4 linked regions of the Pelodiscus sinensis genome follow. Each later gene encodes a partner of the first gene's protein in a complex. Links are inferred from orthologs where the notes say so. Each region holds a gene or a part of one and is shown on either strand. Other genes may lie near its edges.

What was found.
Region 2: HDAC3 (region 1) and GPS2 share a complex: the UniProt entries of both Homo sapiens proteins name them as parts of the N-Cor repressor complex. The link is inferred for Pelodiscus sinensis from reciprocal best matches to the Homo sapiens genes HDAC3 and GPS2.
Region 3: HDAC3 (region 1) and NKAP share a complex: the UniProt entries of both Homo sapiens proteins name them as parts of the notch corepressor complex. The link is inferred for Pelodiscus sinensis from reciprocal best matches to the Homo sapiens genes HDAC3 and NKAP.
Region 4: HDAC3 (region 1) and TBL1XR1 share a complex: the UniProt entries of both Homo sapiens proteins name them as parts of the N-Cor repressor complex. The link is inferred for Pelodiscus sinensis from reciprocal best matches to the Homo sapiens genes HDAC3 and TBL1XR1.

Annotation. Positions count from the first base shown.
Region 1 is NC_134727.1:1,035,547-1,043,202, reverse strand, and holds the start of HDAC3 (histone deacetylase 3), read right to left. Parts: upstream 3,011-7,656; 5' UTR 2,864-3,010; coding exon 2,809-2,863; intron 1,904-2,808; coding exon 1,821-1,903; intron 1-1,820. UniProt on the Homo sapiens protein: Histone deacetylase that catalyzes the deacetylation of lysine residues on the N-terminal part of the core histones (H2A, H2B, H3 and H4), and some other non-histone substrates.
Region 2 is NC_134734.1:9,787,911-9,795,680, reverse strand, and holds the start of GPS2 (G protein pathway suppressor 2), read left to right. Parts: upstream 1-4,762; 5' UTR 4,763-4,905; coding exon 4,906-4,999; intron 5,000-7,770. Other genes in the region: NEURL4 (neuralized-like protein 4), read left to right, coding at 96-240, 374-486, 816-981, 1,456-1,660. UniProt on the Homo sapiens protein: Key regulator of inflammation, lipid metabolism and mitochondrion homeostasis that acts by inhibiting the activity of the ubiquitin-conjugating enzyme UBE2N/Ubc13, thereby inhibiting 'Lys-63'-linked ubiquitination.
Region 3 is NC_134723.1:33,983,044-33,990,761, reverse strand, and holds the start of NKAP (NF-kappa-B-activating protein), read right to left. Parts: upstream 3,010-7,718; 5' UTR 2,882-3,009; coding exon 2,556-2,881; intron 739-2,555; coding exon 658-738; intron 1-657. Other genes in the region: ZBTB33 (transcriptional regulator Kaiso), read left to right, coding at 3,259-3,286. UniProt on the Homo sapiens protein: Acts as a transcriptional repressor. Plays a role as a transcriptional corepressor of the Notch-mediated signaling required for T-cell development. Also involved in the TNF and IL-1 induced NF-kappa-B activation.
Region 4 is NC_134720.1:43,459,849-43,467,590, forward strand, and holds the start of TBL1XR1 (F-box-like/WD repeat-containing protein TBL1XR1), read right to left. Parts: upstream 3,007-7,742; 5' UTR 2,817-3,006; intron 1-2,816. UniProt on the Homo sapiens protein: F-box-like protein involved in the recruitment of the ubiquitin/19S proteasome complex to nuclear receptor-regulated transcription units. Plays an essential role in transcription activation mediated by nuclear receptors.

The sequences.
Region 1 (7,656 bases):
CAAGTTTTAAACGAGTATGTCAGAACTGTCAATTTTATCAAATCCATGCCATTCCATGCTCAGCTGTTTTGCATTCTTTGTCAAGAGAAGGGGTCAGATCATAAGGAATTGTTGCTTCACACTGAGGTTCACTGGCTTTCAAAAGGCAAAGTACTTGATGGATGCTTTGAATTATACCCATTTAATAAGTTTTTCTCTGATCATTCATCCCTGTTTGTTTCTGTGTTTGACAACATCCTGTGGTTAGTACAACTTGCCTACCTTGCAGACATATCTAGCAAGCTGAATGATTACAATTTGTCCATGAAAGGCCATGACACCAACAATCTGAATCTTTACGATAAAGTGAATGCTTTTATCAAGAAAACTAAATTCTGGAAGTCCAAATGTCAAGTCAAAGACTTTACCTGTTTTTCAGTGTTTTATTAATATATCACGGAGGCCTAAATAGGGGAAACTGAGCTGAGCAAAATGATTTCTCCAACATTCAGCACAACTCAGCTCAACGCAACTGGGTAAGAAACCTTGTTCATCTTGCCAAATGTTAGCAGCAGTAACCTCTCTGCTGGACAGCAAGATTATATTCTTCAGTTTTCCCTCAGGCCATAGTCTGCAAATATAATGATTCTACACTAACCTAGTTCTGGTGTTCAATGCAGAAAAAGAGTACATTAACTGTGGGAATCATGCTTTGGGAGGTCTGTTATCTTTCAGGTCGGCATATCTTTGAACAGTCTCATTTTCTGCTATGACTGCCACCGAGACACAATGTGGAGAAAAACCTCTAACTTGCTGTCACTTCACTGTCAACCAAAAGAATAAGGCTCACAAGTGAAAAAGAGGCTCAACTACCACACTGGAATATCGCAGAAACATTTCAATCAATATATTTTGCAATTATTTGGCAAAAATGAGAAAGTCAGAAATGTTGCAGTAATAGTGCACTGTGACACTTTTGCATTTTTATACCTCGTTTTATAAGCATGTATTTTTAAGTGAAGTGAAACTTGAAATACAGACAAGAAACCAAACTCCTAAAAAGAACACAGAATTCTGGAAAAGTTGAGAACCACTGACTTAAAGCATCCCCAGCAAATAGAGAGTCATGCCAGTGGTCCCCAGCGCGGTGCCCACGGGCGCCATGGCGCTTGCCGGGCAATTTCTGTGCAGCCGCCGAGTGAATGGGACCAGCCCCGCCCCCACCCCCGGGTGCATGGGCGGTGCCAGCCCCCTGGGCACACGGCGTATGGGCAGCGTCGGCCCCGGGCGCGCAGCACATGAGCGACCCCGTCCCCAGGTGCACAGTGTTTGGGTGGCCCTGCCCCCGGGTGTGCGGTGCAAGGGCTGTGCCGGCCCCGGGCACACGGTGTTTGGGCGGCCCCATGCGTGGGCATGCGGCACATGAGCAGCGCCGGCCCCAGGTGCGGAGAGTTTGGGCAGCCCTGCCCCCAGGTGCATGGCACAAGGGCGGTGCCGGCCTCTGGGCGTGCAGCACGGGAGCGGCGCCGGCCCCGGGAGTGCAGCGCATGGGTGGCACCAGCACCAGGCACGTGCACAGCTCCGCCCCTGGGTGCGTGTGTGACCCTGCTGCCAGGTGCCCAGCGCCTGAGTAGCCCTGCCCCCGGGCACCTGGCAGCCCCAAAAGGTTGGGGACCACTGTTCTAGCCTAATATGGCGAAATGACTTTCGTCAGCAAGAATAAGACATATTATAAAATGGGGACGAGCATATTTCATAGCCGCGTTTTAACATAGTTACATTTGAACCATGTGGAGGGCTTTCCAGGACACCAACCCCAATACCTGACAAGCAATGCTTACAATCATCTTCTTGTAGAGCCCATAGTGAAGCACCAGACTGTGGGTCAGTGCCAGGCGATGAGGCTTCATGGGGTGCCCTGCGCCTGGAAACAATAGAGGCGATCAGCACCCACAGATCATACACTGGATTGCAGCCAGACACCCCACTCCCCTGCCCACAGGCCCAGCCCCCGACTCCCCCACAGGCCCAGCCCCCCTTGCAGGCCCAGCCCCCCCGACACCCCCAATAGGCCCAGACCTCCCGACTCCCCCACAGGCCCAGCCCCCCTTGCAGGCCCAGCCCCCCCGACCCCCCCACAGGCCCAGTGCCCCCTGCAGGCCCAGCCCCCCCGACCCCCCCAACAGGCCCAGTGCCCCCTGCAGGCCCAGCCCCCCCGACCCCCCCAACAGGCCCAGACCCCCCGACTCCCCCACAGGCCCAGCCCCCCTTGCAGGCCCAGCCCCCCCGACCCCCCCAACAGGCCCAGCGCCCCCCGACCCCCCCACAGGCCCAGCGCCCCCTGCAGGCCCAGCCCCCCCGACCCCCCCACCAGGCCCAGCCCCCCCCGACCCCCCCACAGGCCCAGCGCCCCCCGCAGGCCCAGCCCCCCCGACCCCCCCACAGGCCCAGCGCCCCCTGCAGGCCCAGCCCCCCCCGACCCCCCCAACAGGCCCAGCGCCCCCCGCAGGCCCAGCCCCCCCGACCCCCCCACAGGCCCCGCCCCCCCCCGACCCCCCCAACAGGCCCAGCCCCCCCGACCCCCCCACAGGCCCAGCGCCCCCTGCAGGCCCAGCCCCCCCCGACCCCCCAACAGGCCCAGCGCCCCCCGCAGGCCCCGCCCCCCCCCGACCCCCCCAACAGGCCCCGCCCCCCCGACCCCCCCACAGGCCCAGCGCCCCCCGCAGGCCCAGCCCCCCCGACCCCCCCACAGGCCCCGCCCCCCCGACCCCCCCACAGGCCCAGCGCCCCCTGCAGGCCCCGCCCCCCACACAGGCCCCGCCCCCGCACCGTAGTGGAAGTTGCCCACGTCCGGGTCGTAGAAGTAGGCCACGGTCTTAGCCATGGCGCGGCGCCGCCAGCACCCGCCGCCCCGCTCCGCGCCCCGCCCACAACCGGGCACGTCACCGCGCCGCCCCGCCCCGCCCCCGGCGCTCGCACGAGCTCGCTCGCCCGGCGCTGCGGCTGCGCGGGTTGGCCGGGGGCGGGGTCCGGCAGGCTCCTGGCGCGCGGCTGCGCCCGGCCCCGCCCGCTGCAGGGGGAGTCGCTGCGCGCGCAGCTCGCGCGAGCTCCCGGCCTGGCGCCCTGCTCTCCGCTGAACGCCACTGAACAGGGGAAGGAGGAAGTGGGCGGGGCTGTCCGTGCCAGGCTCCGCCCCCAGCACCGCCCCGCAGTGCCCATTGGCCAGAGGCAGCGCCGAGCCGCCTCCTCGTGGGAGCTGGAGGGGCGAGGCGCTGCCCCTGCACGCCCTGTATTGACCGGCCAGGGGAGGGGCAGGGGGCAGGGCTCAGAGCACGTGGGAAGTTGGCAGCTCAGGGGCCTGGGGGCAGGAAGCTGAGCCCTCCCCAAGGCACAGCCACAGAAATAAGTGGGCCAGTCTTTAATAGTGCTGTGAGGGGGAGCTGAGGTTCCCGGCCCTGCAGCCCCGCAGCAGCAAGAACAGAGGGTTTATTGCTTCTCCAGGGCACAGCCCAGCCTAGACGTGATGGCTACAGCTAGACTGGCATGATTTTCCGCAAATGCTTTTAACGGAATTCTCATCGCAATAGAAAGGATTGTCCCAAAAAAGCTATCGGACAGCCCTACGACAGACTACTGAGGCAGCTGCTGTCTTATGAATTAAGAGTCAGTTTCAGGAACGTGCCTTTCTGGAGAGGAGCTAGCCAAAATGTAGCAATTTGCTGACAAAATCTCCCCACCACAATCTTTTCTTCTTATGTGGGTCTGAAGGGAACGGGAACTGTTCTAGGCAGACTCATCTTATCCATAGGATGGTATGGGGCGGCTGCCCCCAGACCCTGTGCGTTGGGGGCCCCAGTGGCAGCCACCTGAACCATCCTATGAATGGGACCTGCAAGGCCTAGGGCAGCTGTTGGGATTACCTGGGGGGGGCAGGGCACAACACCCCAGCAGTGGTCCCCGTCCCAACCCCGCACTCGCAGCAGCAAGAGTCAGAGCAACCTGCTCCACTCTGCCCCATGGCCCATCTCCCAGCCCACATCGTTCCAGTTCAGCAGTGGCCATGGGCAGGGGCTCCAGGCCCCTTTGAATGGCCTGGCCCTGGGGCAGCTGCCCCTTTGCCCCGTCAGCGGCCTAGTTGCGCGTGGCTTGGAAGCGTGCCTCTCTCGCCAATAGAAGATGATCCAGTACAGTGTCTCCAATCCCTGAGACTGACACAGCTACAACTGCACATTTGAACACGGCCAGACAAGCTCTGTTGCTCCCACACATCCAGGCCTTATTGCTGATGACCCCAGAGCCTGGCTGTCCCCCAGCCCTCGGCCTGCACATCCCTGTCAGTCCCTGGCACTGGCAGGCATCTTCCCCAGCCGAGTTCCTGCCTGGGTGTGGCTGGGGCAGGAAGGGTGTCAGTCAGGGCGTTCGCACTGCTGTGGGCTGGGCAGGGTGTTTGCCGCGTGTGACCAGTGACTGCGTGAGAAGCAAAGTGCAGCGCAGCCTCTGGTCATTTTCGTCACTTTGGGCAATAAGCCAGAGGCCCAGCGCCTGTGAAGGCCCCATCCCTCTGAGGCACCCCTGACTCACAGCCCTGCTTGGCTAGAATGCAGCTGTTGAGGGAGGTCTCAGCTGTGAGGCAGAGGTTCTCAGGCAGCCAGGGCATGGAGGGCTTTGACCATGGCAGCAGAAATCCAACGCTGCCCTCAGTGTCCCTAGGCAGCCAGTGCGGAGTGGAGTGCTGGGCAGATATACCCTGGCAGGCTGCGCCGCTGTGGACTAGACTAGCTGGAACATTTCAGGGTGAGAGGTTTCATTCCTCAGTCAAATGAGCCACAGTCCCCAAGCCCAGAGGTCCTGAATTCCTGGGCTGACAGCCAGGTCTGTGCCTGCTCGGATGGGGGCAATTGGCCGCTCCGTTGCATATGGGAGTCGGCACTTTTGCCTTTGTGGTGTTGGGGTATTAACAGCGTTAAAGGGGCCAAATGGCACTGATGCCTCTGGCAGCACGAAGCATTGGAAAGGAGGCTGGGGTGGCACTGGCAGACCAGGTGGCAGCTCATGCCCAAGTCCCAGGCCTCACTGGACGCTTACAAATGCCTGGCTGGACACAAGGCCAACGCAGCTCAAAGTGCTTGTTCGTATGGGAGAAGGTCTGGGGCATTTAACCCTCCTGGAACGGCATGGATGCTGCCTGCTTTGCTGTCACGTATCCGTCTCCCATTACGGTGCAAGAGCAAACACGGACCCTGCATGCAGCCCTGCCACTAAATCCCCAGCCAGGGAGAAAGAAGCCCTGGGTAATGCAAATGAAGAACTTTAACCACAAAGGGCATAAGTCTTGTTCATTGCAACGATGCAAAGGAACTGGCAGATCGCTATGTCTCTGCTACCACTTGAGAATGGGAGACTGAGACTCACTTGCACAGGTATTTCACCGGCTCTCACCTCTCAGTAACTCCCAGCGAGTCACCCTTCAGAAAGCCGCTCTGGACCAGCACGGCTTTGCTGGGAGAGCGAGGCTACAGACTGAGCCAGGGGACTGACTGGGGACTGAACTGAACCTGCATGTGTAGAATCTTTGTCACACAGTCCCGCTTGCGTCTAGGGGACGGGCTGGGGCTTCGTGGTAAGGCCCCTGCGCTGTGGCGGGAGGTCACATTGCTTGGTGCAAGCTAGTTACAGAACACGCCCCAGTCGCCCTGCTGCTGGCCGGCCGCTCGGCCCTGGGCTTCCAGTGCTTTTCCCTTGGCCCTGCTCTGGGCTCTAGCCAGCTGCTGCTCACCCGGCCACTGCCTGGGCAGGACACAGAGCTGGGTGCCCCTGAGCAGCTGCCATGCACCTGGGTGGTCTCACCAGCTCTCCTGATGGGTTCTTATCCCCTATTAAATACCAGGGAGGGGGAGGGGGTGAGCTGCCAGGAGGCCTCTGCACTCAGGGCTTTGGGGCAGGGCGACCTTGCGGGACCTTCCGAGAGGAAGTGTCCAGAGCTGCTTCAGGATCCCCCCTCCCCCCGCCCTGCCTGGGGGGATGGGACAGGAGAGCATGGTGACCAGCAGTACCACACTCTGCTGCCCCGCCAGCTGGGCCAGTCTGGGGCTGCACTTGCCCTGACTAGCAAGAGGCTGGGCCGGGCTGAGCTGTGCTGTGCTGTGCTGTGCTGGGCTGGGCCGGGCCGTGCCGGGCCGTGCCGTGCTTGTGCTTGTGCTTGTGCTGTGCTGTGCTGTGCTGTGCTGGGCCGGGCCGGGCCGGGCCGGGCCGGGCTTGTGCTTGTGCTTGTGCTGTGCTGTGCTGTGCTGGGCCGGGCCGGGCCGGGCCGGGCCGGGCCGTGCTTGTGCTGTGCTGTGCTGTGCTGTGCTGTGCCGGGCCGTGCTTGTGCTGTGCTGTGCTGTGCTGTGCTGTGCTGGGCCGGGCCGTGCCGGGCCGTGCCGTGCTTGTGCTTGTGCTTGTGCTTGTGCTTGTGCTGTGCTGTGCTGGGCTGGGCTGGGCTGGGCTGGGCTGAGCTGTGCTGGGCTGGGCCCGGCAGGGCTGTGCTGAGCTGTGCCGGGCTGGGCTGTGCTGTGCTGGGCTGGGCCCGGCAGGGCTGTGCTGAGCTGTGCCGGGCTGGGCTGTGCTGAGCTGTGCCGGGCTGGGCTGGGCTGGGCTGGGCCCGGCAGGGCTGTGCTGAGCTGTGCCGGGCTGGGCTGGGCTGGGCTGGGCCGGGCCGGGCTGGCATAAGGCCCGGCTGCAAGGGAGCCAGGAGAAGTTGGGTTTGTCAGTAGACCCTTGTGAAATCTCAGCCAGCACCAGCCAAGCACACTGGTGCCACCAGAGCCCGGCTCTCACCCCTGCTGGAGCCTGCTGCTATTCACTGCCCCCCAGCGCAGAGGACTCGGCCCCCTTCCCTCCCAGCAGGGGCCCTCTCGGTAGCTCGGCTGCCGCTTCGTCCCTCTACTGCGCCTGGCGCCCGCCGGGCACGGGCGGGGGAGGCGGAGGGGGGCGGAGGGGGGAGTTGGAAACGGAGGCGCCCGCTCTTGTTCCCTGATCCCCGCCCCCCCGCGCCGTGAGCAGCCTGCAAACGCTGGCGCCGCACCTGCCTCCTTCGTGCCTCTCCCGCCCGCCGCTGCTGGCTTGTCCCGCGGGGCTCCCCGATTCTCCCCTCCCGCAGCGCCAGGGCTTTGCGGGGGTCCAGAGAGGGGGCGCGAGGCCGGGCCGGGCACAGAAGGATGCTCCGGCCGCAGCCCGTGGCAGGGATGCTGGGTTGCTAGGCGACAGGTGAGGAGAAAGGACCGATGAGCGGCGGCAGGAGGCTCAGGTACCAGACGCTGCCCCGGCATGGCAGGAGGGCGAGAGGCGGCTGCTGGACCGGGCTTCCGGGACAGGACCGGGACTGGCGGCCACGACGGACGCTGAAACCCAGGCAGAGCCTCCCCTCTCCCCTCCCCCCCGGTCCGGCTGGCGCAGGGCTCCGGACGCGGCCCCCCCCCCCCGGTCCGGCTGGCGCAGGGCTCCGGACACGGCCCCCCCCCCCGGTCCGGCTGGCGCAGGGCTCCGGACACGGCCCCCCCCCCCCCGGTCCGGCTGGCGCAGGGCTCCGGACACGGCCCCCCCCCCCCCCCGGTCCGGCTGGCGCAGGGCTCCGGACGCGGCCCCCCCCCCGGTCCGGCTGGCGCAGGGCTCCGGCCACGGCCCCCCCCCCCCCGGTCC
Region 2 (7,770 bases), on another chromosome or scaffold:
ACTCGATGCCTCAGGCTTTCTTTAGACTCATGCAGCATTGCTGCCTCAGTTAAATTCCTCCCCCCATGCCTGACTCCCATCCCCTTCTTTCCCAGATGACTACTTCGCAGAAGATCCCAAATTCAGCCTCTGCTACTGTGAGTCGTGCCACAAGCTGCGGGGCGATGAGGCCTATTATAAACGGGGGGAGCCCCCCCGGGACTATGCCCTGCCTTTTGGTTGGTGTCGCTTCAACCTCAGGTATCAGCCTGGAGAGAGGGGGATCTGGTTCACTATTGTTGGGAGGGGGAGGCTGGGAAGAGGGGCTCTTGCTGGGATTGGACTGGAATGGGGAGGGGGGGACACTGGCTCTGACACCCTCCCACCTCGGCAGGGTAAACCCCCAGCTGGAGGTCGCCAGCACCTGTAAGAAGTGGCACATGGCTTATCACGGCACAAGTGTCGGTGCTGTCCGGAGGATGCTGGACCAAGGGGAACTGGGGGCAGGTAGGAGGGACCCAGCACAGAGCACATTATGCCCTGCCCAGACCAGGGGATGGAACTTATGCATCCTAGCTCCCAGCCCATGCCCCCCCCCACCTCCCGCCCACTCTGACCCACCAACTACCACTCCCTTCCCAGAGCAGGGGAGAGAACCCAAGAGTCCTGGTTCCCAGCTGCACCCTACTCCTCTTCCAGAGGGTCACATGCATGAAGCATGACCAGTCCCATTATGGGGTTCCAGGACCCAAACTCCTACTGGGGAGGGAGCAGTGCTTAAAGATGGGGCCTGCGCTTAGGGATGGGGCCTGGCTCACGGCTGTCCCCTGTCCCAGGCAGTGCGTCCATCCTGAGCTGCCGGCCTGCCAAGGTGGACCCCCAGGGTGGAGGATACCATGAGGCAGAGAACAGTTCCCCAGGCCATGGGGCTGAGCCCCAGTGCATCCTGCTTTCGCCCACCCTGCGCTACGCTGGCCTGGAGGCCTTCGCCACCAAAGTGCAGTGAGTGCCACCAGCCATCAGGGAGCAGCGGGGCTAGGGAGGAGGAAAGCAGTGAGTCCAGCCTGCCACTCTAGTGGGGTTGGCAGGGGTGGGGGGGGAATGACAGTGAGTCTTGCCAGCCACTGGGGAGCATTTGGGCTAGGGGAGAGGAAAGCAATGAGTCTCATCTGCCACTCAGGACTAGTGGGGCTAAGGGGGACAGTGAGTCCTGCCTGCCACTGGGGAGCAGTGGGCCTCGGGTGGAGCAGTGAGTCTCAGTTGCTGCAGGAGGGAGCAAGACACTTGAGAGCAGTGAGTCTTGGCCCCGGTTAAGGGAAGCTAGCAGGGGTGAGGGAGGGAGATCAGAGTCCCACCTCTAGAGGCCAGTGGGTGTAAGGGAGGAGCAGAGAGTCCCAGTTGCCACTGGCGGGGGATAGTGGGACTAGAAATAGTCTGTGAATCTTTGACCCACTGTGTCTCCTCTTCTCCCTGCAGATTCCGGGACCCCAAGTCACAGCGGCAACATGGGGCACAGGTGGCCTTCCAAGTGTGTGTGCGCCCTGGCTCCTACAAGCCAGGCCCCCCATCAGCTGGTGCCCCTGAGCCCCCGGACCCTCGTTTCAGCATGGCTGAGATAGAGTGGGTCACCAAGGAGAAAGGCGCCACCGTGCTCTATGGCCTGCTTGTGCGTGTGGAGTGACCCTCCCCACAGCCAGCCAGGGGGAAATCTACCACCACCCTCCAATGGACCGTAACCCCCCCCAGTGGCTGGAGGCATGGGGAGCAGCAGATCTGCAGCGCACATCTTTCTCCCACCCTGGACCAGCAGGGGGCACTGGATGCTGGGAGGGGCTTTCAGCAGTATGACCCCCTCCATCCCGATTCCAGAAGGAAGATTGGTTTTTTGGGGGGTTGTCTCTCTGCAGCATGCTCTCCCTGTGCTCAGCTGGGGATAATCACCAGAGGAACTTGCCTTTCTTGGGTAGGGGGGGTTATCTTCAGTGTGTATCACCCCCACACACACGTCTGCACTCTTCCACCCCCCCTATGGCCTAGCCTAAGGGGGGAGAATTTGGACAAGATACAGAGTCTGACACTGTTTTAAATCTGGGGGGAAGCCCCTCCCCCCATACACACAGCTCCCTCTGGTGCCCAGAGCTGTATTTTGCACATAGAAAAAGCTAAGAGGGGGCAGACTTGGGGGGGACTTACAGCATGGTGGGAGATTTTGGGGGGGGGAATATATTGCACCACAAAAGACTTAATTTCTTAGGGAGGACCTACCTCTGTGGGGGAGATCTCTACCCTTCCACACTTAAATAGCTTAGGGAGAGTAAGTACCCCTGGCACAGATTGCTATGATGGGGAGTCACCTTCCATGGCTGGGGGGCCCTGATCTTGCCTCCCAAGGGGGGGACTCTCATTCGGAGGGAAAGTTTCCCAATGAATATTTCAAGGAAGTGCTAGATTCAGTTATTGGGGTGTGGGAGAGTTGGAGTAGCCGGGGGGAGTTGGGGGAATTTGTTCTTTTAACTCCCTCTTTGTTCCCCCGTTTGGCAAGCCCCCTGCTTTGAGGAGGAGGGATGTTGAATTGTAGCACTTAGTGGTGGTTCTAGCCTGCCCCCTCTCTGGCTTGGGGGAGGGAGGCAGGGGACTCCCTGTTTTTTCCACACCATAGTGGAGGGGAAAGGTTGGCCAGGTTACCTTGCCTCCATCCCCCTCCCACCTTCTGCAACCACTGTCCTACACCCCTTTCCTGTGCAGTAAGCACTGCTCCTGTGGTGCCAGTAGCCCCCAAAATCAGCCCTACTGTCCCCTCACCCAACCATCCCTCCTTATTTATTACCTATTGGTGTTGTTGAAATGTGAATTTCCTCGTGGGGGAACCTTGGGGGGGCAGGTTTAGCACTCCTTCCCCACCTGTTACTTTTTTAAAAGTTTTATTTAAGCTGCTTTTCCATTGTAAGGTTGGGGGGAGGTGAAGTTGCATTATGGGGTGGAATGGAGGGTTCTTAGAGCCCCCTAATTGATAAACCACCATTCAGCCACCTCAGCTGTGTCTGTGTTTGTGTCACCAGAAAGGGGGGAGACTGTTAAACTAGGCTGGTTACACATATCTGGTACCATGACTTAAAATTGCCTTTTTCTGGTGCAGACCAGGGTTAAGTGACTATACAGATTTGTTTTGCACAAAAAAGCCCCGATTGTGAAAATGGCGATCGGGGCTTTTTTGCACAAAAGTGCGCCTAGATTGGCACGGACGCTTTTCTGCAAAAAGTGCTTTTGCAGAAAAGCATCTGTGCCAATCTAGATGCTCTTTTCCGCAAATGCTTCTAACGGAAAACTTTTCCGTTAAAAGCATTTGCGGAAAATCATTCCAGTCTAGACATAGCCCACATGTTCGAGGAAGAGTCACATTCTCTAATAACCATGGGATGAGTACTGCTCCCTCCTACAACTTCCCCCTAGATTGCTCATGATTTGGAAGGGAGCAGATCAGTGGCCGGTGTATGGGGCCTGTGCTGTGCCACACAGCTCACTGTGCCAGGTATACCCCTAACCTCCCCAACAACTTTGCTAACACAAATGTAAAGGGCTATAATTCCAGCACTCTTTCCTACAGCCCCACCACAGCTGCCCAGCACCCCACCCAGGACTTACCTCACTCTCTGATTTCCCAGTACAGGTTCTCCTCGCTACCTGATGCCTTTCCCCATAGTCCTGCCACCACACTGTCCTGTACTGCGTTCTCCCCTCCCCCCCCCATCATCACACCACCTGGACACTCCCATCCTGTCCTCTCACCAGCCCTGCTGGGTGATCTCTGAATCCTATGGTCAGAGTGGGGGGCAGGTGCTGTCTCCCAATGCTGCACCAGCCACACTGGTGAACTCAGCAGTTCCCGTACGCTAGGCACACTGCCAATGGGAGCTGCAGGGAAAGGGCTTGCAGGCACAAACAGAGCCCCCTGACCTTGATGGACCAGATAGGAGTTGGGGGTGAAGCCACTTCCAGGAAGTGGCCAGCAGGTTGCTCTGGCTCTCTGCCTGCAGACCCCATCCCCACAGTTTCCATGGGCTGTGGCAGAGCAAAGGTGTAGATATCGGGTGCCTAGGGGCTGCAGGCTGCTCCTCCAAGCAGAGCCCCATAGGCACAAGACTCAGTTTCTAGACTAGGGGTCACCAACCAGTCAATCAGGATCTATCAGAAGATCTTGGAGCCTCTGACAGGTGATCCTGACTGGTTTGGCTGGAAGGTTCTCAAGTGCCTGCATGTCAGTTGCCCTTCCCCCACTGCTCCTGCCTAAAGCCTCAGAGCTGTCCCCTGGGAGCCTTCTGCATGTAGTGTGGGGTGGGGAAGACAAGAAGCAGGGAGGTGCTGATGTTGCTCTGTCCCCTTCCCTTGTATCCCAACTTCACAGAGGAGGGTGGGGCCTCATCAAAGGGGCGGGCTGGGGGTATTTGTGTTAGAGGCAGATCCTAGACTGACAAATTCAAAAAGTGATCTGCTTAAAAAGGTTGGAGACCACTGTTCTAGATCAATAACAAAACAGCAGGGTGCTGGTCACCCGAGCACACACCCCCAGCACCCAGTTGGAGTGGGAGGCCCCCCGCTGTCCCTTTCTCCTCCCGGGCGGGGGCCAGCTATGCTGCCTCTGCCCACACAGGCGCATGCCCTGGGCTCGGCCGAAATCCCACTCCTGCCACCAGCGGGCGGGGCCAGCCTCATTCTGATGCACGGCCAAGCGGCAGAGCCTGGTCTCGCTGGGAAATGAGAGAGGGCGGGGCCATCTGACGTAAGGGCAAGGGCGAGGCCGGATCCCGTTCTCACGCGCGCACAGAGGGCGGGATAAGCTGACACGAGAGGAGCGGCCGGGTCGCCGCAGGCGCGCGCCCCGGAAGCGGAAGTGTACGGCTGGGGCCGGTGCCCGAGCGCGGAGCGAAGATGCCGGCGCTGCTGGAGCGGCCTAAGCTTTCCTCGGCCATGGCGCGCGCCCTCCACCGCCACGTCATGGTGGAGCGCGAGCGCAAGCGGCAGGGTGAGCCTCGTTCGCGTGCTCCGCGTCACGCGCCCCTGCCCTCCTCGTGTCTCACGTCACCTGTCCAATGACCCCTCTCCGTCTGGCCACACCCCTCAGCGGCTCTAGCCCCGCCTCCACCTGTTGTCCCCACCTCACCGTGGCCCTTCCCCCTGGAAACCCCCCACCCCCTGGAACACTCCACGTCCCCCCTCCCGCCGCATCCCTCCACCACACCACCCTGGGGTTCCCCCACCGACCCCAGGCCTCCCCATATTCTCCTCCCCCACTGCACCCCCTGGGTCCCTCCATATCCCCCTCCCTCCACCCCATCACACACACACTCCCTGGCTCCCCCATATTCCCCTCCCTCCACTGCACTGTCCCTTGGTCCCCCTGCCCGCACTGCTCCTTCCATCACACTGCCTCTTGGGAACCTCCCCAAGCCTCTGTCCTACTGCTCCTCAAGGACACCCCCTCGCACTCTCCTGTGCTGGAGGAGGGCACAGTGCCTTATAGGGTGTGGCCAAGAACCTCTCCTGGCTTCCTGAGTCCCCAGTGCTAGCCCCATCTCTCCGGAGGCGGATTTCAAGGGGCCCAATACCAGGGGTGGAGGGTGACCCTCAGACACCCCCTCCTTTTGTTCCCTGTTTCTTAGACATCCCCTGAAAAACAGGCCTGAGCCCCCTCTCCCCTGCTCTTCCTTTCTCCCTCCGTCCTCACATCAGGGGCACCTCACAGATCAGAGCCCTAGAGGTCAGGGTCACCAGCCACTTCCTGCTGCTCTGCTCTAGCCTCCCCTATAGCTGGGCCCCAGTCTCCCCAACAGCTAGGGTGACACCTCCACACTGCAGCCCTTGGCAGAGGAAAGGGGGGACTAAGGATGAGAGCGTGGGAGAGGGTGGCACTGCGGGACCAACCCAGCAGCACCCCAGCTGCTCTGCCCCCGGCTTCCCCAAGTCAGCCGCTGCTGAAACTGACCAGCGGCTGACTTGGGGAGGCCACGGGCAGAGCAGCTCCAATTGTCCGGCTGGCCAGAGCACTTCCAGGTTCCGGTTGGTGCCAGACTATCAGGAGTGCCGGACCACTGGATGCCGGACAATTGGAGTTTTACTGTACATTGTTAAAGGTGTGGATGAGCTTGTCATTAGTGTTCCCTGTAAGCTGGGTGCTTGGGCAGCCACTCAGGAAAGATTTGAATGCCACCCAGTTTTAGAAGAGTGCTCATAGCCTTAAGCTGATTCTGCTGAATCGGGCCCTGCACCCGAGAGGGCTCTACACCCGGAAGTCGGCTGCTCCCCCTTGCCTGCGCACGCTGCCAGCTGCTGCTGCCATGCGCGTGTGTTTGCACGTGGACGGAGTGACACCCGGGCGTGATGTGACGTCGTCACGGCCCGGGATTTTTAAAACTGAAAAGTGCAGGTGGCTCGGACTCGGAGTCTGGCCCCGCATTGTAGAAGGCAGAAGGTAAGGTGGGGGAGGGGGGAGAGGCGCAGTCAGCTCTCAGCCACCTGCAGCCCGGGGAGCGGTGACTCACCCTGAGCACATGGAGCCGGGGTGCAAAGCAGCGTTGTGGGGCGCAGTCAAAGCAGGTGGGGTCGCGCTTCCCCCACGGGGCCCCAAGCAGCTTGCAGAGGCAGGCCTGGCCCAGCCCGGCCCCTGGCTGCCGTCTCTTACCTGAGGGGCTCCAGCACCAGGCTCTGCAGGCTGAGGCCACGTGCGGAACCGGCCGCTAGCACGGCCACCACCTGTGGCAGCTTGAGCAGTGGCAGCATGCTCCAGCGTCCGGTTGGCCAGGCCAGCGCCAGCTGCGCCTCCTTCGCGCGTGCTGCCCGATCCGGCGCAGCCCATCTCTTCCGCTGGCAGCCGCGGGGCCAGCCCTAGCTTGGTTGGGTGGGGAGGTGGATTGTGCAAAAACGGGAGCGCTGAGGGGTGGGGGACACTGGCGGTGGGGAGCCTTGGTTCCCAGCCTGACGGATGTGATGGGGGGGGCAGAGGCATAGCGAAGGGGGTGCAGGGAGGGGCAGTTGCCCCAGGGCGCCACGCTAGGGGGGCGCCGGGCTGGGGTGAGAGCAAGCGCACGCTGTGCAGGCTCACCTGCCATGGGCGGCAAGTTATATGGCCGTCCCCCCAGCCCCGAGCCATCCCTGCTGTGCGCAGCATTCAGTCGGCTTCGCCTTGCCTGCGCACACTATGCAGCATTTCCAGGTGACCGGGGAGACGCCTGGGCGTGACGTGATGTCACGTCATGGCCCAGGACTTTAAAAGTGTTTGGTGCTGCGTGGTGCTGGCCTACCTTCCAGTTCGGAGTCCGGGGACTTTTGGGGTCTGAGCACAGACTCCGGCCCCCAAGTGGAAGGCAGAAGGTACGGCAGGGCAGGGGGAGAGGAAGACGTCTTGTGCGGAGGTGGAGGGGAGAGGGAAGATACAAATTCCAGGGGGCCAAGTGCAGACAATGAGGAAAAGGGCAGGAGGGGAGGTGTCAGTGTGAGGAGGGACAGGGTGATGCTGGGAGAGGAGAGGAGAGGGGAGGGGAAGGGCATTAGGGTCTGGAGGGGGGGAGGGGGAGGTGCTGGGAGAAGGCTTGAAAGGAGGGGTGGCCATGAGAAAGGTGGGGATGGAGCAAGCCATGTGTGAGGGCACAGGGGCATGAGGGGAATGGGGCAGAGAGTGGTGAGGGGGCGGGCATCAGGAAAAAAGGGGGCAGGGGCAGTGAGGGAAGAGGATTCCTGCTGATCTTATCCTAAGGCTTTCAGTTATCCAAGGGATTGTAGGTTGCAGGCATCCACTGC
Region 3 (7,718 bases), on another chromosome or scaffold:
TTAAAATTATGAAACATCATTTGAAGTGGGGATTGTTTGTCCAAAAATCAAATACATGTATAGAGCTCTGCAAATGCAGATATCCACTTTATATCTGTGGGTATGCGCATCTGTGGATGTTGATATCCACAGCTCATTTTTTAAGATATGGATGCAGGTGAGGATATAATTTTTGTATATAGAACCCTGAATATTTGCAGATATCTACTTTATATCCAGGGGTATCCACATCCATGGATGTCAATGCAGATATTCTCAGCTCATTTTTGCAGATACAAAGGTGGATACAAATTTTGTATCCACACAGGGATCTACACATGTACAATTTTTGCAAATTCAGAGCCTGTGTTAGTAATCAAGGAAACGATTAAATAGCTAATATCTGAATCACTCTTCAAACCACAATACTAAGACAACATCATTTGATCTACAACATGCTGAAACCTTATGTAATTGATTTGTTGGCATTATACAAAATATGGTATCCAGATATGGCTGTTTAGTGATTTAACTTTGGAGACATGTAATATGAATTACAAAGAATAACAACAAGACATTTCTGTAAATATTAGTGTTGATATTAATTAAATGTTATCTTATATAAGCCTCCAAATTAGAGTGCCAGAAGGCAAAAAAATCCCATGAAAAATTGCTTACTCTGGGTCAGGAACCTTTGGTGACAGTCCCCAGACTTCAGGTGCTCCCAGTTCTCCAATCCTCTCTCTTTCATTCAGTCTCCTATAAAGATACATACCTGCATTAAAACCGAATGTGCTACCATCAAACAGGTATTCAAAACCTGAATAGTTTGTTTTTATCAGCATTTCTCGTCTCCATAATTAAATTTGCTGAAAGGATATTTTCTTCATGTTAGTATCTAAAATTTGCTTATTCTCTCCAAAAACAAGACACTTCAACACTAATTTTTCAGTTACTGGGGGGCCAGTATGTTTGAGACATTTTTAAGAAACACCTCTGCATGCTTCAGTTAACCCTCAGACTTTGTAGTCTGGTAAAACAGGATTTTTGGCCACATATGTAATGTTCCTGATAGTTTTTTCCATTACAAATTATGTATCTAAATATTTACCATGATGATTACATCCACTTCCTAAAACAAACAGGCAAAGGTACCTAGTCTGTGGCAGATAACTGCACAAAACATCTCTCCATGTGCCCTCGTCTAAAAAAATGGAAGACCTAATTTGTAGAGACAACACATTCTAATATGTGATGCTTTGCTTCTGATCGGAACAATCAGACTTGTCATCACTGTTGACTGTAATCAGGGATACTGGCAGTTTTTATATTGGGGGTGCTGAAAATCATCAAACCAAACTGTAAATCCTGTTATAACTGAAACCACTTCAAGCCAGAAGGAGCAATAGCACCCTCTGCACCCCTAATTTCAGCACCTAAAGCTGTACTATATGTAGGGCCCTATCAAATTCATAGACATGCAAAATGCATCGTCGACTGTGAAATCTGGAGTCCTCCCAATGAAATGTGGACTTGTGTGTGATTTTAGCCTATACTATACATGGGGAAACCAGTGTTTCTCACATTGGGTGTCCTGACCCAAAAGGGAGTTGCAGGGGGATCACAAGGTTATTTTAGGAGGGCCACGGTACTGCCATCCTTAGTTCTGTGCTGCCTTCAGCACTGGGCAACTATACAGCAGTAATTGTAATTTGAAAGGCAGCATCTTGCCAGCAGCAGTTCAGTGGCAATACAGTACTGCTGCTTTCAGCGATGGGCACCTGGAGAACGGCAGCTGCTAACTAAGGTCCCAGCTCTGCAGGCAGAAGTGCAGAAAGAAGGATAGCAGTACCATAACATACCATCCTTATTTCTGTGCTGCTGCTGGCAGTAGCAATGTCTTCCACGCTGGACTCCCAGCCACCACTTTCCAGATCCCCAGTTCTGAAGGCAGCACCACCACCATCTGCAGCACAAAAGTGCAGTAGTGCCACCCCCCGCCACTCAAACCTTGCAAACCCCATACAACTCCTTTGTAGATCAGGACCCCTGCAATTGCAACAGCATGAAGCTCCAGCTTTTAATATCCAAAATCATTATATTTACCATTTAAAAAATCCTATAATCATGACATTGACCCAAATGGACTATGAATTTGGTTGGGCCCTAACTATCTGGAAGATTGTCACTTTTGCAAGCTACCCATGATAACTTAACAAGTTGGGCCCTATCATACCTGTGGGGCTGCATCATTGCATTAACACAGATGTCTCCACACTATTTCATTTCATGTCCCTTTGAGGCTCTAATTTACATCCCTGCATAATTTCTTTAATAGACAAAGTTAGGGAAAACGGACCTAATTTTCCAAAAAAAATAAGGTAGAGCAAGGACTACTATGAGAAGGAGAATCTGGTAGCTAAGTGGTAAGGGGCATTTAAAAGAAGATTGGACAAGGCACGGAAAGGTACGTAACAGGGAACACGCCTGCACTGGGAAAAGGGGCGGGGCACACGCTGCAGCTCGGGTAGCCGGGGCGGGCGAAGGCAGCTCGGTTGGGGGGGGGGGAGACTCGCCTCTGCCGCAGGATCTCTTCCTTCTCCTTCTCATAGTAGTCCGGCCACTGCTTGCCGCCGCCGTGGTGATGGTGCCCGTGGTGAGCGGAGGAGGAGCGCGGCCCGCCCGGCGTGCGCTCCCGGGAGCGGGACCAGCTGCGGCTCCGCCGATGCTTCGAGCCGTTGCGCTCCCGGGACCGCGACCTCCTGCCCCGCTTCTCGGGGGACGCAGGCCGGTGGGGCCGGAGTGTTCTCGGGGGCGAGGGACTCGCCGAGGAGCTGCTGCCGCCCTTCCGCCGGGGGCCTGGAGATCCTGGAGGGCTTCGAGACCGGGACACAGGCGCCATCTCGGCCTCCCGGGCCGGGGGCAGGAGAGGTCTCCCGGGTTGCTACCGTAGCGCCAGCAGCGACCGCGGGGACTTCCGGGTGGCGCACTTCTGAACTATCCCGTGCAACACCACTTCCGGTTTCTGCGCCCTTTCCCCCCATATTAAGAAAGTGCTTCCGGGTACAACCACCCACATCCGTCCCCCGGGAAACAATTTCCGAGTGTTGCTACCAACCCCTTCCGGTACTCGTGCACAGAGCAATTGAACAACCGAGTGCAACAGGCTGAGTCGCCGCCCGGAAACGAGGCGGTGTCGCTTGGTTCCTACGGCAGGGTTCGTTGCGGGCGACCCCGTGCGAGCGGCCAGACGGCTTCGGGTTGTCGGAGTCCGGCGGGATGCAGGAGAACGGGGTCGAAGCGCCAGGTAAGGAGGGACCAAGAGGCGGGCGGGCACCCCGCCCCCATCTGACAGCGGGGCGGCCTGACCCTCACGCATGGTGCTGCCCCCCATGTGGGTGCAGGGGACGCAGCCTGCCCTGTGGCCGGGGGAGCCCAGCGCCCATGGCTCTGCTGGAGATGGGCTCCCCCCAAAGGTCCCGCGGGGCAGGCCTCAGCCTCCTGGAGTCGCCAGGCTGAGAAGAGAGAACAGGTGGCCCCACCCGGCGCAGTGGGGAGGGTGAAACTCGGCCCCCGGGAGCGGCCTGAGACCAGCATCTCCCCGACATAGGTCCCAGACCAGCCATCAGATGGAAGCAGCGTTTAGTCAATACTTAAGGCAGTCAAGCAACAGCAGCAGCGAGAGGCGCTGGATATCCCATCCCATCCCCAGCCCCTTCCATTGCTGTAGTGAGGTATCACTGAATAATTTAATCCGTGGCTCTACAAAGGTGCCATTAAACAAGAAGGACTCAGAATCCTGTGGGAGATGGAAGTGCCCAAGGAGAACAGGAGTAAACGACAGTCAAAATTTCTGTCCTCCTACTGTTTTGGCATTGTCATCAGCATCCTGTTCTGTGCAATCTGTGAGATGCAACCTAGTTGGTCACTGTGCTAACAGGGCAAGCTGCATACAATGCTTCAGTCAAAGTAAAAGTCAGTAGAAAAGACTTTCCCTCACTGACTCCATATTACACTTGATAACTACGGTGACCTGTACATGGGGATGAATATGCAAGTTCTGGAAAAGCCTCATGATGCAGCAGCCCATCTTACTGACCAGCATCAAAAGGCAAGAGTGCATTTTAATCTAGTGCCTTCAGGAACTACACAGACTAAGCTTTGAATGTCCGATAGACAGTTCAAAGTCACAGTGCTATTCTCCAAAGTTTCTCTTCAAATGGGATGTGTCCCAGCTGCCTGAATTAACATCTATGACTTTTTTCTGGAATGATGGAGCTGTCCACAACAGGAACAATGTTTAAAATAAGTGGAAACAGCACTTTTCCAGTGGACAGCTCATGGTTATGGAACTTCCTTCCCCCCAAAATTAGAATGACTGAATCTTCCTGCTTTCGTATTTCAATGCAAAATCCAACCTTTTGCCCTTAGTTTTTCCACAGCAGTTGACCCTTTGCCCCCACCAAACAACCATCAGCAATGAAGGAATAAACAAACATGCAAAACATACAAAAAGCCACTACGTTTTCATTAGTCCTTAGATTTTTTTATTTTAAAAGGTCACCTTAGAATCAAAATAAACAACACAGCAATAATCCAGAGAGTTATAAAAGTTACATAATAAAAGCAAACAGCCTTTTTTTTTTTTAAATGGGTGTCAATGGAGGAAATCTTTATCAAGGATGTTGTTTGTTTTTTTAAAAGCCCTCTTGTAGGTAACAGTCTTTCTTTTGCTTGGGGAAGTAATGTATAATATTGTCCTGACATCAAGTAAGCCTGCCATAAATATCCAAAGAATTATTTTATAATATTATCTCATACTGTCATGTCATCTTATGTAAGCCAAAATCAAATCGAATAGAAGGATATGTCTCAACGTTGTTTATAGTTGGACAGCTGTTTCAGTTACCAGATCTATAAGGTGTGGCATAAGCAGCAAAAAACCTGTTCAAATTATATATGGAAATTAGTAAATGTATAGCACTATGCATTTGGTAAATTGGTAAATGTATAGCACCAAAGAACTGCACTATGCATGGTATTCTTACATTATGTTTCTATCTATGCAGTGAGGCTGTGTCTAGACTACATGCCTCTGTCGTCAGAGGCATGTAGATTAGACACATAGGCAAAGGCAAATGAAGCCGTGATTTAAATGATCGCGGCTTCATTTACATTTACATGGCTGCCGCGCTGAGCCGACAAACAGCTGATCAGCTGTTTGTCCACTCAGCGCGCTAGTCTGGACGCTCCCCTGCCGACATCAAAGCCCTTTGTCGGCAGCCCCATTATTCCTCGTGGGATGAGGTTTACCGGGGCTGCCGACAAAGGGCTTTGATGTCGGCAGGGGAGCGTCCAGACTAGCGCGCTGAGCGGACAAACAGCTGATCAGCTGTTTGTCGGCTCAGCGCGGCAGCCATGTAAATGTAAATGAAGCTGCGATCATTTAAATCGCGGCTTCATTTGCCTTTGCCAAAACAACAAATCTACATGGCTCTGTCGATGGAGCCATGTAGTTTAGACGTACCCTTAGGTTGGGATATCTCTTCCATTGCCAGAAGTGCTGTGGGGATAATGACAATGAATATCAGGAGACTTCCCTTGTTTAATGCTTCTGAGTGATCTCTTTAAAGTGCTAGTAGACTATTGGTTGTTTTTTAAGTTTTTCATGTTACAGACTAACATGGCTACCCCTCTGAAGCCTATGTTCTAATAGAGTAGGAGGAGAGTAGTGAATTGAGTACAAGTCAGTGAGCCTGAGTTCTAATCCCAGCTCTGACACAATCTGTGGAACTAGACTAAATTGTGGCCAGAATTTTAACTGAGCTGAGCACCTTCAGCCTCCAGTGAAGTCAGACACTCAGGCTGTGTCTACATTGGCATGATCTTGCGCCAGAGCGGCCGCTTTTGCACACAAACATGCTGCCTGTCTACACTGGCGGGGAGTTCTTGCGCAAGAACACCGACATTCTAATGTGTGAAATCAGTGCTTCTTGCGCAAGAACTATGATGCTCCCACTCAGGAATAAGCCCTCTTGCGCAACTGTTCTTGCGCAAGAGGCCAGTGTAGACAGGCAACATTAATTTCTTGTGCAAGAAAGCCCGATGACTAAAATGGCCATCGGAGCTTTCTTGCGCAAGAGAGCATCTACACTGGCATGGATGCTTTTGCGCAAAAGCACATCTCTTGCGCAACAGCACATGCTAGTGTAGATGCTCTCTTGCGCAAATACTTTAACACAAAAACTCTTGTGTTAAAAGTATTTGCACAAAATCTTGCCAATGTAGACGTAGCCTTAGCTTTTAGTTGCACTGAAGACAGCTACTCATTACCTTGAAAACTAAGACCATGAATCTCTCCTTTAGTTTTTCTGTTGGTAAAATGGTGATTAACATATTCAACTATCCCTCAGTAGTCTTCTGTGGGTTAATTAGTAATTGTAAAGCTCTTTGAAGTATTTTATACATAGGTTACGTCTACACTGGCACCCTTTTCCGGAAATGCTTAAAACGGAACAGTTTTCCGTTATAAGTATTTCTGGAAAAACCGCATCTACATTGGCAGGATGCTTTTCCGGAAAAGCACTTTTTCCGGAAAAGCGTCCGTGGCCAATGCAGACGCGCTTTTCCGGAAAAAAGCCCCGATCGTCATTTTCGCGATAGGGGCTTTTTTGCGGAAAAGATTACTGTGCTGTTTACACTGGCCCTTTTCCGGAACAATTTTTCCAGAAAAGGACTTTTGCCCAAATGGGAGCAGCATAGTTTTTCCGGAAAAACACTGACAATTTTACAGTAGATTGTCATTGCTTTTCCGGAAAAGCAAGCGGCCAGTGTAGACAGCTGGCAAGTTATTCCGGAAAAGCAGTTGCTTTTCCGGAATAAGTGGCCCATTGATAGTGTTTATATAATTATTGCATTCTACATATAACAGCATGCTGCTACATGTGGCATATGATCCAACTCCAAGTAATGTTAAAAGAAAGTCTTCCACAGACTTTAGTGGGAGTTGAACTAGGTTTTATTACAATATTAAAAGCCAACCAATGCATAAAATACAAAACAAAGCAAAAAATAGAAATCAGATGGGAATTAGTGTTCTACTGTCCTTCTGGCATTAGTAGTGTTCCCAGCATCACAATATTGCTCTTTGTATAGATTATTTCTGTCCCTAGAGATAATCCAGTTAAAATGACTGTCAAATTTTCATTGGTACTGAAAATTGAACCTAGGTATTCAGTGAAGATATTTCTGTCTCATGACATGTTCATGAAAGCTTGGTTCTGTTATTTAGTCTCTAGCAAATTTTATTTATTCTTTTAAAATAAATTAAGTATAACTCTGTCATGACTGAAGACTTTTCCCTGTCTCACAGAAGTAAGTCTTTAAAAATGCTCTCTGTCCCTAAGTATTTCTACCATGAACATTTCCTTTTTCAAAAAAGAAAACTACTCTTAAGATGGTTTAAGTCAAAACTTCACATCTATTGCTCTTAGGGATGTTAAAATGGTTAAGTGGTTTAACTCAGAGTGGTTTAACTCAGAGCCTGGTCCCACTGCATCCTGCAGCATCCATTTAGTCACTTTTTAATTCCAACATCCATTTGTCACACCAAACTGAGAAAGCAAATTTCTGAATTGAACGCCCTCCACACAAAATGCTATAATCAAGCAGTGCCCAACCACCAGGCTGCAGCTCACTGTCAGGCCACAGACCTTTGGCTGCTGGGCTGCGGTGGCTCT
Region 4 (7,742 bases), on another chromosome or scaffold:
GTGTTATGGTAAACTCCATAACCATTCAATATACTTTACATGCACTTGGATCTATTCTTCCTCACTAAAAAAATTAACTAAAAACAAAGCAAATAGATACACATACAATATATTCACATTTTGACCATTTCAATGTACTTCATCCATCTCCTCATGTTTGTAGGATTTAACAACATTCATTACACTCATTATCTGAGTGATAATAATTACAAAGTCACAGTAAAGTTTTACAATGCTTAATATTTATATAATGCTTTGCAACTTCAAAGCCATGTACGAAACATCACTTATTGGAAGAAAAACTAAAACTGGCATTTGTAAAAATTTTCATTCATATTGTTTTGTGGGGGGGAATGCTGAGTAGCAATTATGTCTAATAATTTTGATCAACATTTATTATTCTCATTGAAGCAAGAAAACATTTAAATGAACAATATCAACTGTATACCCTTGTGTATAGGCTGAAATTAACAACTCAAGTCCCAACTACTCTTGCATGTTTAAATTTCCTTCTCCTCTTTCCCATATGGAGTGAATGATAAATATTTTCTAGGTGTTCAGAATACTATTTTGGGAGACTTGCCACAAAGTTCCCAAGACACATTCCAACATGAACCATGTGTTCACGGAGACAAGCCTGCGCTTCACTCTCAGGATCTTGAATTTTATTAGGAGAGAGTCTCAGGTAATATGTAATTAATAATAAAATAAATCACTTTGGGAAGCTACAGAATGTTTATTATTATTTACATAACATGAACAGCTATACTAAGCAGATTTACCTTAACAATGAAGTTTTTTTTAATTCTCAGGCTCTATCAAAATCTAAGCACATATTTAATTTTAAGTTCATAAATAGTCTCATTAAAACCAATGGAACTACTCACGTGGTTAAAGTTACACACCTGCATAAGTGTTTCTAGGATTTGAGCCTTAAATTTTAACTTTAAGCTGAAAAGATTAATATTAAGATGTCCATGCCAAGGCCAGACATCTGAGCTTTGGCAAAGTTCAGTGCACAATCAAGACCCAAAATTTGGCCCTAAAACTTAAGGCATTATTCAAAACTTAAACCTGAACTCTGCCAACAGCACTTCTGTCTACACTGTGTCCTACCTAAAGCCAACATTCAATATCCAGAGAGCATAGGCCATATATAATAAAGACCCTTCCCTTGTCAATATGTTTTGTGAGGCCCTCAAATATCTATTCAATATACCAGATCACCAAAGCAACAGCAATCAGGCTCAGATGTTTTATGGGACAACACAGTTTTCCAGATCATGACTCTCCATATCCTATGCTTTAACAACAAAGAATAAGCATATTTTGCGATCTCTTCCATAAATCAGTAAAGTTTTGATTTATACAGACAGGAAAATGAGGTTGTTGGGTACATCTGACAGCAAAGACCATGAGCAAACTTTACTCTGCAACCCTGAACAGCAACTACAGATGAAACTTTATCCTGAAAACTAAACATGCATTCTCAAGCAACAAGACTCTGCCATTAAGCACAACTTAAGGAGATTTTTATTATACATTTTCCAGAAAAGGGAATTTGGTGATGAAAGATTGAACTCACTAGGAACAATCTTAACATACATGTTTACCCCATTAAATAATATAGTGAAGTATGCATTTTGCCCATACAATGGGTAAATATAGTCAGCTAGCAGCACAATAAAACACGTAACTTAGGTGTAAAGCTCTTTTTTAAAATATATAATGCACAAAAAAAGATTGACTGGCTCATTTTGAATTTCTGATTAAGTTTTAAAAAATAGCCCATTAACAGGTATAAAGGCTTATTTGCAAAACTAGGGCCCATGAGTTGTCTTTTACACGTGGCCCTTATCCTGTCAGAGAAAATGTGACCCAGAAATCCACCCAGAATTAAACAGGAAACTGATCAACAATAACTTTAGCACTTTACAAGGGGGGAGGGGGAATTAATTACATATACAGATATTTTCTTCCCTTAAATCCAGGGCTGTATCTCAAATGTAGTTAAACAAAAAGGAAACACACCCCTCTAAGTTACAAATGAAAGACAATATACACCGTTGAGAATAAATAACCCCCCCCAAAAAATCACACAGAGGAAAGTGTGGACACAGATTCCCCTCCCCCACTCAAGCATGAGTTCAGACACAAGCACATTTCTCCCCAGCTTTTCTTAAAAATATACATTGCAGACACAACCCATAAGCCGACTGCAAAATAAATACAGACCTAAGGTCACACTTTGGGGTGGTCTCGCCCCCGCCCTCTATTTTAGAAATAGTAAATATGACGGGGGGGGGGAGGATTCTTCTTCTTTACACAAATCAGGCTAAAAATAGGCTATAAACCAGCCTGCCTCATGATGGCTCCTTGATTCAATTTGCTGCAAATCCCCCCCCCCCCTTAAAGCCTTTAAAATAAAATCCAAAGGAGAGGAGGAAGGGGGGAGGGGAGAAATAAGAAAGGGGGAAGAAAGGCAAAAAAACCCTCCAAAAAAACAAGCTTTACAGAGGTGCAATTTACAATAGAAACCACCAGCTCCCCCTCCCCCAAAAAAATACATTTTTAAAAAGGGGGACCCAAGTTGGGGGGGGGAAAAAAATGCATGTTACACTGGTGCCCATCCCCCACCCCCAACTATCACAGACACAAACACAGCTCCCTTCCCCCCACCCTGGATCACTTCCCCCACAGCCTCTCCCCACCCCCGCACCCCGAAAGAGGCTCCATCACCCCCCCCCCCCCGATGCACTTGATCCAGCCCAGGAGAGTAAAAAAAAAAAAGCCCCAGAACACCCCCAAGTCCTTACCTTGCCGTTGATGGCTGAGTGGCTGCTTTTGCCCTCCCCCCTCTCCTTTGCAATGGAGGCAAAAGAAATGCACCCTGGGTTTCCTCCTCTGTCTACAGCTTGAGACACAGACACACACACACTCTCCCTCTCAGCCGAGGTGCCCACTCCAAGCAACCATCCAAAAAAAAAAAAAAGGGAGGGGGGGGCAAAAAATAGCAAAAGGGGGGGGGGGAGAGAAAAATAATAGCCACCCCGCAGGGCTGTGAGAGTCAATGGTATCCCAAGGCAGAGTGGGGGGGGAGGGGTGGGGGAAGGGCTGGGCGATGAAGTCCCACGGAGGGGGAGGACCCTGTGTGTGTGATTTCGATTGAAGAGGAATCGAGGCAGAATGTAAAAAGCTGTTACTAAGGGAAGGAGCCAAACGGTTCGGAGCAGCCAACGGCTCAGACACTCCGCGCTGGGGAGAGCGCGCGCGCGGTGGCCAGCCGCACAGAAATGAGAGAGAAAGAGACGGGCGAGGAGCAGAGCAGCAGGCCCGGGCGGCTGGTTGCAAAAGCAACCACCAGCCTCCAGCCCAGCCATGGGGGAGGGGAGGGGAGACCCTCCTCTTCTCACACGCCCCCCCCCCCCCCTTTCCCAGGCAATATGGCCAAGGCAGGGCTGCTTTTCAGGATTCCGCAGGGGCCAGCCACATGCTGCCTGGGAGCAGGGTGGGTGGGATCCTGGGGTGCCAAGGGAGATACCCGCCTCTCCCCGCCGCCACCTTCCCTGTCACATGCCTTCCCAGCCAGCTGCACAGGGCCCTCTGGCCAGGCTCCTTTATGATTAGGCACACCACCCACCAGAGGGGTGAGGGGCACCCAGGGCGAGCCCTGCTCCTTCCTGCCCCAGCTTGTTGCGTAAGAGGTGGGCAACAGTGCAAGGCGGGCACTGGTTGATTATTAAGAATATATCGTAGCAGCAGCCTGCAAAGCAGCAGCAGGGTGAAAGCGGGAAGGACACGGGGGTCCAGTACAGTGAAGGGAGACCCTCGCACTTCACACACACACCGCTTGCAGCAAGCTGTATCAAGCGATATTGCCCAGGATTATTACCAAGACCATGTAAAGCAAAGCAAGCAGTGTGCACAGAGGGGAAGCATTCGGCAGAGACCCTCCTCTGCTTCCAGGAACACGCATACAGTATACTCCCCAAGGCCTGGCAGCACTTTACACTCAGCCTTATTGCCAGGTGTTGCCTTGTTATGAATGATGTACAAACCAGCAGCAGCCAGAAAAACAAGCAAGGAGTGGGGGTGGATGCTGGGATTCCAGTATTGCATGAGACACCTTCCCTTAAGACCATGCATGTGTACACACACACACACACGCACATGCACCCAGACACCCATGCAACAGCCTGCATCGTAGGGCAGTAATGCTGGGTAGTGTGGTTTTATTGTCAATCATCTTTTACACGCCTCCAGAACATGTTTCATGTCCAATGCATTTCCATAATATTGGCATTTAGCATGTATATAATGCTTTATTTTAAATTTTTTTCTTTTTTTTTTAACAATGGTAGGCCTCCATCCTACAATTGGTTCTGAGAGGGTTAACTCCAGAGCTCCACCCATGCTCAAGGGAACACCTACCTAGACCAATTGCATTCAGGGACTGCTTTCTTTTTCAGAATATAAAATGTCTTATTGATAATAATGCCATGCTGTTTGTTTTAGGACACTTTAATACTATTTAGCCTTTATGTCACAGGGTTTTAAAGCAAGCTTCATTAGTGTGAATCATATTTGTTAGTACACAATGCTTTGCATTTTAAAGTGCTTTGTGGATCACACTTACAGGCTCTGATTCAGCAGTCAAATTTGCACGTGCAGACGCTTGAGCCTGCACAAAGCCCTACTCCCTATAATCCTCGTGTGGATCTGACTGCAGGATCTGGTGCCAGGGTGAAATTCACACTGCTGGGGAGAGTCTGCTCCACCTGGACAGGATGGCCCTGAACTGTTCAACTGTGGAGGCTGAGGGCCCTGGTGCTTGTCTTTGTTAATTTTTTGTTATTATTAATATGTATTTAGCCCTTTATGGAGTATAGCACTTTCTCTTTTCAAATTCTTTAATTACGAAGCCAAAATAACTCAAGTCTATCAGCCGTTAAAACAGGGGTCAGCAACGTACGGCACACGTGCTATAAGTAGCACACAAAATGTTTTTGAGTGGCACGCTGGGAGTCCGCACTGCCGCTGGAGCCTCACAGCCGGTGCACAGCTGCAAGGCTGCAACCCCAGCTCCAGGGGACAGGGCAGGGAGGTGAAGAAAGCAAACTCAGCCCCCACCTCCATGGGCAGACCACAGAGCTACACATGGAGGAGTTCTGCCCAGCCTCCCCACAACGAAAAAGTCCTGCCCACCGCTGGGCATCCACCTCTGTTGTTCCTGCGGGGCAGGCTGCAGATTGGGCTGCACAGCTCTCATGGAGCATGAGCCACTAGCGCCCTCCTCCTTCCCTGGCACCAGGTTAGGCTGCGCTCCATCCAGTTTCAGTGGGAGGCGGCAGCACTGGGGCAGAGGACCCTGTACACACAGGAAGCTAGTGGGGGCTTGGGTGCCTTCAGGGCTCTGCACCCATGGGGATTCGGTCTGGGGGAACACAGATCTGTAAATAGAAAGTGAATGCCACTTCTGAAAGGTTACCAAACCCTGCTTTAAGACATGCTAGAGTCTAGTAGGACTTTGAAGCCAGCTGGATCACATGCAGGGTTTGAGGACCGCAGAAAGTCAGTTATATATTCTTATGTAGAAGCCACTTGGTTTGGGGGGTTCAGATTGTTACTGGATGGATATATTTTTAAAAAAATGATTTTTAATTTTGAAAATTGTGAAGGGGCCTAGAACAAGTAAGTATATTTGTGCATGTGTCGATAAATACAACAATTAATAGACCTTGTGGAGTGCTTTTTGGTACATAATGCTTTAATAATGTTAGCACTTACACAATCTTAAAATAAAAAAAATATAAAATGAGGCCCCACTCATACCAACACCAACATTTGTTTCACTACAAGCATGGGAGTAGACAAGATGGAATCAACAGGGCCACACACTTGTGTTTGCAGGACAGGAGTAGGTTTTGATTTACAAAGCCTTCAATAATTTGGGACCTTGCTTCTTGAAAGATTAATTCTTTCCTTCTTTGATTCCATGGCAGCATTGTTTAGGATGTGAAACTCTAGTTTCTATTATACGCCCTTGACCTTGGAACTCTTGTCCCTGCATAAATCTGAGCTCAGTCTGCTGGGTTGAGATATATGGGGTAATTGGACAAGGAAGATTATTTAGGGTGCTTGTTAAATGAGTAATCTATGTTTAGGATTTACAGAGTTGGGTTATGTGTAGAACCTAGGGAGTCATGTTTAAATAAATAATAATCTTTAGCACTGTTATTTTTTCCAAGCCCTCTCATACTAAAGGAGATGGAACTTTTGTGGTTTGGTCCTATCAGAAGTTCAGAGATGTGGTTAAACTCTGGATCCAAACTTTGAGAGACTTTGGATCTGGTGGGTTCCTGAGCACATTAGCATTGTGCGGCACATCACTTTCAGTCTCCCTCCAACTACAGCAGAACCTCAATTTTACAAACACCAATCTTATGAATGACCAGTTATACAAGCTATTTTTCCTGACAGAAAACAAACAAATCACATAATGAAAGTGATGTTGATGAAGAACAAGTCAACATTCCCTTCACATTCCACTGTGTTCAACATATTAGAAATTGCTTTACGGGGGTTTGAAAGACAAGAAAATTCTGCAGTACACTGTACTGCAATACAGTGTTACAGGCACTCGGGAACGGCTGTTGTCCATAACGCTGAAGTAGTAAAAACTTTAAAAACAACAAATAGTTCTACAGCATCTGAAGTAGTAGTTATGGACTTCAGTCATGTGTGGGGTTGGAGGCTGCCATCGCAGGCTCAGAGGAGGATCAGGGCTGGGGAAGGGGAAGTTGAGGTTTCTGACCCTTTGGAGCTCCAGGTCTCCAGCCGGGGGAGGAAGGGAGGAGAGCTAAGCACTTGTGCCTAGCAGAAGCATCAGGACCCAGCACTTTAGACCTGTGGAGATTGATGGGACTTATAGGGCTTCAGTCATGCAGCTCCCAGCTCCCCACAGCTCTATTTCTGCCCCTCAAATGCCCCAATCGGGAAGGTCTCTAGCTTCGGGGGAGTGCTAGGGATGAAATTGGTGCTTCCCTCAGAGCTTAAGCCCTGAGCCACCGAGCTCCACCTCAATCTAAATCCTCAGAGCTCCTGAGGATCAGAAGCCCCAACCTCCACCCCACCCAGAGCCTCGACCCTGTGGCTAATGTTCCAAACTTCCTCTTCCATGACTGAAGCCCTGAACCTCAGGGGTAAAGCCCCCCGCCCCAAGCCCTACAAGATTTGCATTTCCTCCCTTTGTATCTGTGCTGCTGCATGATTGAGGCGTTCCAGTGCCACAGGATGTCCAGTTGACTGATAAGTAAATAACACTGGTGTTTGTATCTTTTGACATTCTACTGCATGTGTCTTGTACTTATTGTAATTCTGAGATTTTATTGATGAATTCCTTAATCCATGTTCCCTCTAAGCTTTTCCATCCATGTGCAGAATAATTTTTTCACATGCACCAAGGCATGAGCAAATGTGCAGCGCCAAAAGAAACACAAAACTTTGCTGTGGGTTCTCTGCTAATTAGGCAGGTGGCATTTGACTCTCTCAAGCAACTGCACAAGCACACACTTTTTACAGGAAACTCCGTCCTTAATCCCCAAATAAGCATTCTATTGTACAGAAAATGTTCTTCTTCCAGTGTTTGTTTGAAGTCTCATTGCGGTTGCTGGAACTATGGCTAGTGGGGAATACGCTGTACTGTAGTAAATGTTAGCAGTATCAAGCACTGTATTTGTACA